Linked DNA regions of Styela clava. The protein of the gene in region 1 binds, or shares a complex with, the protein of each later gene. Links are inferred from orthologs where the notes say so. Each region holds a gene or a part of one and is shown in the gene's direction. Other genes may lie near its edges. The genes, in order: protein dispatched homolog 1-like and desert hedgehog protein A-like.

Region 1 (3,937 bases):
TGATTCTTTTTGGTCGTCTTGCCCTCAGGCACAATTTCGCTGCCCAGTGTTCCTCCGATTTGCTTTACATATTCAAATTAGCAGTGATGAAGTTCAAAGTATGGGATCTGGTGGGGAAACAAATGATGAACATCATGAATTAGATTCTCATAAAACTGCTCAAGTTCTGCGATATGTGATGGAAAATTATAATGCACTGTCGTGGTTGACCTGCGACCCTGTATCTCGCGATCGCAGGTCTTGTCTTCCTATACATTATTTTGTACTAACAAGACTTTATCACACAATCAAGGAGTTAACGTAATATCATACTTTATTTATTGTTAGTATTATTATTACTAAACAGGTGTACATTTAAAATTGTGTGTCAATTTTTTACTATGTGTTTTTTTCTTATCAATGGTTCCATATGCCTTGATTATTAATATTTTTGCGGAATATCAATGTTTCCACCCACGTTTGAAATGACACTCAAAAGAAGAAGAATTATATGTTCATAAGCATTGAAAAGTGGAGGAGTTTATATGCAGTTAGATTCTAAAAATTTGTTTATTTAAATTATTATAGAATAAGCTACGCGAATGTCTATCGACTTTCATTCTTTTTTTAAAATATGATTCATGTTTGAGCTAACTTCTGAATCACTTTTATTTTCATAATTGCTGCTTTGTGTCAAACTGCGTTGTGCATAACAGGGATATGTCTTTGATTTGATAAAACTATGCTTGTTATTTTCAACATTCCTTACATGGGATAGTATTTGGATGTAATTTGTTACATGACATTAAAAGCAGAGAATTTGCCTGAAAGGGTGTATTTGAAAATTATTTTATCATAGAACTATAAAAACAACAGGTATGATTTATTAACCACCAACAATTTTGAGTTACAATGTTGAAATCTGAGACAAATTGTCTTCGTATAGTTCATACTATTTTTGATTTGTGACCAATTTGAATCTTCGTATACATAATTGGTTTTGTGATTTTTATCCTCTGAAAAGTTGATTCATTTGATAAGTGCCAGAATATATAATATGTAAAATTTCCATGCAAGTGCATGCCATTTTGATTAAATTTTCAATTTTTCTAAGATAAGGTTATGAATTCTTCCTCCCCTATTTGATGGTATAGCTATTCCAGTTAAATGTAATTGTGTAGTTTGATTTCCCTTTTTATGTCTATTGCAATATTGCTTGTTTATGACTTTTATTTATGGGTGACCCAAAAAAAAGAACAGAATATTCTAGAGAAAACTTTTGTGCAAAGCGTCCTAAATTGCCAAAACTTTTGTGTACAATCAACACATGTAGAAGTTTTCTCCATTTTCGTACAAGTGATTAAGAAATTTATGAGCTTTGTCATTTTTGAGTCATCCTTACGGTTTTAATCTATGTCCAAATTTTTATGATGGTATTCAATATTAACTTCAAAGCAAGGCGGCAATGGAATCCAAATTTGAATCAGAATTCAACTTCTAACTCAATAGAATTAAGCGTGAAAAATGTTGATAATACCAGAAAATTTTATATTTTCATGTACATGACTGACTTGCGTTTCAATCAATTTTCCATGAAATTTATTTACTGTGTTACGATTATTTAATACCTTTATTTGTATTTGTTCATTTTTAAAATTTAGAAAACAGATAAAATTGTTTATATAAACATGAAAAGTAAGGCTGAAACAAAATCATTCGTCGGAATGCATTATCTGTTAACTGAATACAAGTGAATGGGAATTAATATGAAATTCGACTCATATCTGAATGATTTATGACGTCCATTCTGGATGATATTACAGCTTCTGCTGTTATTTGCAGTATTTAAAGTGCCTCTAAACGACTTTTCTCCACCACCTCCTAGGTGAGTTTTCGTATTTTTCCCATCTTGAATTGTTTTTAAATGACGTATTATGCATATTTTATATTTACAAAGATTAGAATTTTCCACGTAGAAATTGTATTTGTAAGTAGTGAGAGTAGCAGAAGTTTATCTAAAACCTGACTTATCAAAAGTTAAACAAGACTGTTTTTATTATGAACATATGAAAAAAAGTAGAATGAAAATGAAAAAAAAAAAAGTTAAATCAAGAATTTACAGCATAATATAGTTATCGTATATCTTTTTTAAAATTCGAGTATAGGTTGCAGCGTAGGAATGTAAGAGCACTACATTGAACATAATAAAATACCTTTGAAGATAAGATATCTTTACAAATTAGGGTCATTCACATTATTTTTTGAAATTTGAAACTCAAAAATTGGAGAGTAGGCTTGCCTTCCTAGGTAATTCCGGGTTCTGTAGTTGTTCCATTGTGATGTGTTAATTTCATCTTTGGGAATTGGGATTTAACTTGTTTTTACACATAGTGTGAAATTTATTACGATTTTGTTAAGTAATCAATAAATATAATATTGATAAAATAATTGTTTTGATCATTTTGCTATTAAGTCAATTATCTCATATAGGCCTACCGGTATCTTGTGTTGATTGCTTAAAATAGCTGCTTCATCAAATTATACTGGCCTATTGCAAACTGACTTTTTGATTTTCATGGCTATTAATATCCGCATAACATGGATATTTACGCATATATAATGTCTCTTGATCCTTCTATCCTCCTATTATATTTAAGATTACATGATGATGTAAATTGTTATCCAAACAAACAACAGGATACTTGAGAAATGAGAAATGGTCTACTTTTATGAATATTCTTTTGTTGTGCGACACAATTCCTAGCGTTGTTTAGCGAAACAGGATTTAGATTTATTGTAGATTTTATGATAGATTTGTTTTGCCCGGCCTAACTTAGATTTTATTTTCAGTTTATTGTCAGAAATTGAAAATTTTTCAAATAAAGAACAAATTTCTGTGCATGCTAATGATGTCCAGACAACTTATCTGGAAAATGCATATTTTCAAAAAAAATATTTTCAATTTAAATACCAGAAATTTATATTCACTAACGTATGGCGTATGTAAAACTTCATACCTCATCAATGTTCTAATAGAATGAGTAGGCCATGCTGAAGTGAAAAAAGTATAGTCCTATAACTATTAAAAGTGACTAATTATATATTGACTTGAAGTGAAAATGTGTAATGCCCTGTTAAAACTAATCCTTATTTGCTATGCAGTATATTTATTATGTATATCCAAATGCAGATTTTACATGCTGCAAATTTGAAATTTTTTTAATCTAAATTAACTTGAAATATTTGGTTATATTATAGACAAGATTGAATGCATTAGGTAAACTCTGTTCTTTTTATAGTCAATTTCAAAATAATATTCAGAAATTTTCCTTTACATGTTTAATTTTGGTTATTGATAGTTATGAAATCATAAATATATATTGTGTTGCCATTGTTTGCTTCTGTCTACTCCATGTGGTACCAGAACATATATAGTGAATTTTATGATCAACCAAGCATATATCGTAAATGAATGCGCTATTAATAAAGTACAATCTATTTTGGGTTTTGGTTTGTGACAAATGTTGCTTGTTTTGTTTTCCTGTTATCACGCCTGTCCTGTAATATAGTTGTCAGTTTCGTTACGCTAAATTCCATGAGAAAATATGAAGTATGCTAAGCAAACAACCATGACCTTTATAAAGTGCTGTTAGTACATGGAGATACGTTATTGCCAAATTGTAACAAACTATTTTAGACATGGAGGAAAAGTCAGATGAAGAAGTTGCTAGAGTTTTAAAATCTGTTGAGGAACGACGACGCAGAAGAAAAGAACAAGAAAAAAATGTTGACTGGTTTGTATATCGTTATAATTATTATTGTTAATGGAAATTGTGAAAGCCTGATTAAGAATTGAATAATTTGTACTACTTTTGTAGGACTTCTTATTGCTATAATGAATACTATAAGCTTTGACATAATATATATGTTTATATGTCAGCAATATTTAGTTTCTCTC
Region 2 (3,937 bases), on another chromosome or scaffold:
CTCCTTCAGCCCCAGGCATTCGGTTCGAAAATTCTGAATTTCCTTTCTATCATGTGATACCGTAGTTCAATTCGTTTATTGCAAAAACAGATCAAAAAACCCTATTTGACCCAAATATTTCAACAATCACACACGGCCAAAGCGTTTTTGCATAAAAAGCGATGTACAACATAATAATTGGTGCAAAATGTTTCTGCTGCATTTGTTCTGCAGCTGTCGCGACTAACTTTGACAAATAATTTTGCCTCGAAAAAAGGCTTCATTATGCAAGATATTCAGTGCTTCGTGATCATGGATGGACCATACTTTCGTAATCTTAATAAAATTTAATGAATGCTTGTAATTTGAACGATAACAATGAACCTATTACACAAATATACTCCTTGTTTTTCTCAAGAAAATCCGATAACAGTAATACAGCTGATTTAGTTCAGCTATGGGACGGTAACGTAGTTTCGATTTATATATGCAACGTGGTCAGAACAGAAATACTATTGGAAACGAATAATTACATACGGCAATATAATAACATAAGAATCTCAATGAAGCGGTACAATCTTGTGATCTGACAAATCACCTAGGTCCAACGAAATCGAAAAATGAATACTCTTGCCCAAGTCATACTAAAAATGTATAGCAGGAGGATAATAAAAATCAGAAGTTTTTGAAATAATATTACCTATTTACAAAATAAAATTATTTTCATTATTGTGTAGCTTTTGTATAAAAACAACATTCCACACGTGCCAAATTAATTGGATTCTTCTTCTATTCTGTCACAGTAGGACATTAATTAAAATGAAATCCCCTGGCACGGTCACCATTTCTACTCACCGGCCGACTCATTGATTCACTCAGTCCATCATTTAGGTCACGCTGGACCATTATTGCGTTAATTTGTTACAAGCCCATTTTGTCGTTCCGCTAATGTATTCCGCGTTGGTGCAGACATTATTGATTTCTTAATCCTCGCGTTTGTTTCCGATTTCAAATTTAAATTTCAGTTGACAAAGAGGCGACTTTTCTCCTGTTTGGAAGTTTTGTATTATTGCGCCGGATGGCTGGCAGGTTAAAACTGTCTTAAAATTAAGGTAAATAAGATTGTTGCAGCTGCATAAATGGTTTCGTCGAAAGTTAGGGTATTTCTTTTCTCGGTTTTTTTGCAGAAAAATAACAATTTATCTTTCTTTTTTCCCAATACGCAATGCAATAAAAATAGAAATATGTTATAATATTTTACGCCAATGGAACCAGATGTACAGCTCTGAGGACGAAATGAATTGTCAAGAAATTATAATCATTGTCGGACTATTGCTGATTGTCTCTCATAATCGAGTAACTGACGGTTGTCACGGGCCTGGGGTTCCTCCAAAGAGGCGGAAACCTTCGAGATTACTGACACCTTTGGTGCTGAAACAACATATTCCAAACATATCAGAATTTACCATCGGAGCAAGTGGGCCACCAGAAGGAAGGATAACACGAGAAGACAAAAGATTCAAAGATCTCATTGTAAACTATAACCCACAAGTTGTTTTTAAAAATGAAGAAGGAACTGACGATGATCGTCGAATGTCAAAGGTATGAATATATTGAATTCTCTTTTTTACACACACACACACACATACACAAAATCACTTGAAGCAACTTGCAATGAAAAATATACAGACTTCATCGAAGATAATTCAGCTCACAAGATCTCAATTGTATTCTTTGACTGTATTTGTAAGCGTGTGAAACTAAAAATTGTTACCGCTCATTTCGAGGTAATTCGTAATATAGAATATTATGGCATATTTTCTTGTTAGACAGAAAGGTTCGTCGTCATCATGGGAAACATATGTAATCAAACTTACTTCATACTAACTACACACTACTGTTCAATAACTCCCAGCCTCCTTACGCGATAGACGAAATAAGTCCGCTTACATGTAGGCTTATATGAAGGCCATTTATCGCGATAAAATAATCTTACATATCTATTTATAAGATACGTTTGAAGAGTGATTTGTGTGTGAAAATATTTTTTTAGTGAATTAAACAAAACAACTAAAACACTGAAATCTTGCTAGGGAATGTTTTGTCAAATTTTATTATTTTTTTTCGCGTTGGGTAGGTAATTGACATTCAACGTTAACGTGGCGCGTAGTTTTTCATCAATCTTTAAAAGTTACAACTTAGGTCTCGATCTCAGTACCTCATCACTAAAAGTATTTCTTATAAACCGCATATCATAACGTCAAATAAACATGAAAATTTGGAACTGCTTTGTTACGGTAAATCATAATTGTTATTTCAATGAAAACTCTAAACATATCGACGGTTGGTTGGTTATACTCCTCCGCATGTTTATTTTAGTGTTGCCGAAATAGTAACTTTTTGCCATGCTCCGTTGCATGTGGATTAAACCTCAGCCGTTATGTCACCGCCAAACGTCGTTTCGGTTGCAATTTGAGGTGGATGGCGTGAACAAAATCAGTTGCGAATTTTGTTGTTATTTTTTACCGGTTTTACCGCTGTCTTCAAAAAATTCATATCTTGCGGTATTTTTGTCGTAATAAGTCAGCGAAAAACAGTTGAAAGATCGACCCCAAAAAAGCAAACGAATGACCGCAATCACAGAAATCTTTTTATACGTGCAACAAATAAACAGGAAAATCTTACCTTTTCTTGTTGTTGTATTGGCTAAACCCAAGAAATAATGGTATATGCACCATGTGCAATGTATTTTGTCGGCTGAAGAATTGTAATTTCGCGTTTGTGCTAACCTGTTTGTTGATCGATCGATAGTGACAGTCAGATATTGAAAATAAATTTGAATGTCACAGACGACCTTCGAACGATTTGCCGTTAGTTTGATTTTGTGCAACAATTTCCCGTAAAATTGAGTTATTGAGTCCTGGGGAACATTGTTTCATTACGCCAAACAGATAAAACTGTTGTGGCAGCTTAATAATTGTTTATTAGCCGCTACATAAATTGAGATTGCGGACCTCGGAGGCTGGCCACTGCGGTAAAATGTCATAAAATTTTAGATACAACTCAAACCTAAGTGTCCAGTTGTAGTGGAGTTTACTCTCAAGCCGCAATCGACAAGAAATTCAAATCTTTATTACATTGGGCTGTGTGATGTCCGGTCAAAGACGATTATGTCATGAAATTTACACGACATAATCATCCGATCAGTTTTTACCCGGGAATAAGATGAATGACGCCACCGATACAATATTTGTCTTGTACCGGAACGCCCATGTACGTTTCAATTCGACAGTTTGTTCTAGCAATGATTTTGTCTGCGTCACATTGGTATTTCGTCTTTCACGTCGAAAAGAATTTTCAAAAAAATCGTAAGTTTACCCGAGCATTTCTGTCTACATTTTGTTATGTTTGACTTCTTCATATCAAAAGTCATATTTTTGAAAACGTAAATGTGTTGTGCATATCGAATATATATGTCTTTTTATGTATCCAGTGATATACTGCATTCTGAGCCCGATTGGAGTGTTATAGATGTCCACTATACACGGATCAAAATATGAAAACAAATTCTTTATTCGGATGTATTAGATCAAATTGTTTGCGCTTTTCATAAAAACGTCACTGTCAGAAGATTGTAAGCGAACTGGACCCAGATTTTACTACATTGCAAACATTGTTGATTTGAAGGTAACAGCAAATCAAGAAAGCCAAAAGCAGACAAATATATTCTGCCAGACACGGGGGAGCGCGTTTTTAATATACCCCAAACTTGGTAATACACACCTGTTGCATGAATGAAATTACCGACGCAGAATTTCAATCAATATCTGTTATGCACGTTTGACCCTCTGGTCAGTTGATTGGGTATCGCCCTTTTGTCAAAATAAAATATAATGTTATAATGAAGAAAAATACCATATTATAACGTAGATTGCACAATTTAAAAGTAAGCCTCCTA

The links.
Region 2: the proteins of protein dispatched homolog 1-like (region 1) and desert hedgehog protein A-like are in contact, whole or in part, in a cryo-EM structure (PDB 6TD6), measured with the Drosophila melanogaster proteins. The link is inferred for Styela clava from reciprocal best matches to the Drosophila melanogaster genes disp and hh. Residues at the interface, in NP_524734.2 of Drosophila melanogaster: His77, His78, Arg250, Tyr253, Glu296, Ala404, Gln405, Ser406, Asn407, Arg408, Gly434, Asn755; in NP_001034065.1 of Drosophila melanogaster: Tyr100, Pro101, Val103, Leu104, Lys105, Gln106, Thr107, Asn110, Leu111, Ser117, Glu164, Lys165, Val168, Ala228, Gly229.

The regions. Positions count from the first base shown.
Region 1 is NC_135255.1:3,997,860-4,001,796, reverse strand, and holds the start of protein dispatched homolog 1-like, read left to right. Parts: upstream 1-1,650; 5' UTR 1,651-1,864; intron 1,865-3,676; 5' UTR 3,677-3,678; coding exon 3,679-3,773; intron 3,774-3,937. Other genes in the region: mediator of RNA polymerase II transcription subunit 13-like, read left to right, coding at 1-304. UniProt on the Drosophila melanogaster protein: Segment polarity protein which functions in hedgehog (Hh) signaling.
Region 2 is NC_135251.1:20,005,326-20,009,262, reverse strand, and holds the start of desert hedgehog protein A-like, read left to right. Parts: upstream 1-1,223; 5' UTR 1,224-1,254; coding exon 1,255-1,581; intron 1,582-3,937.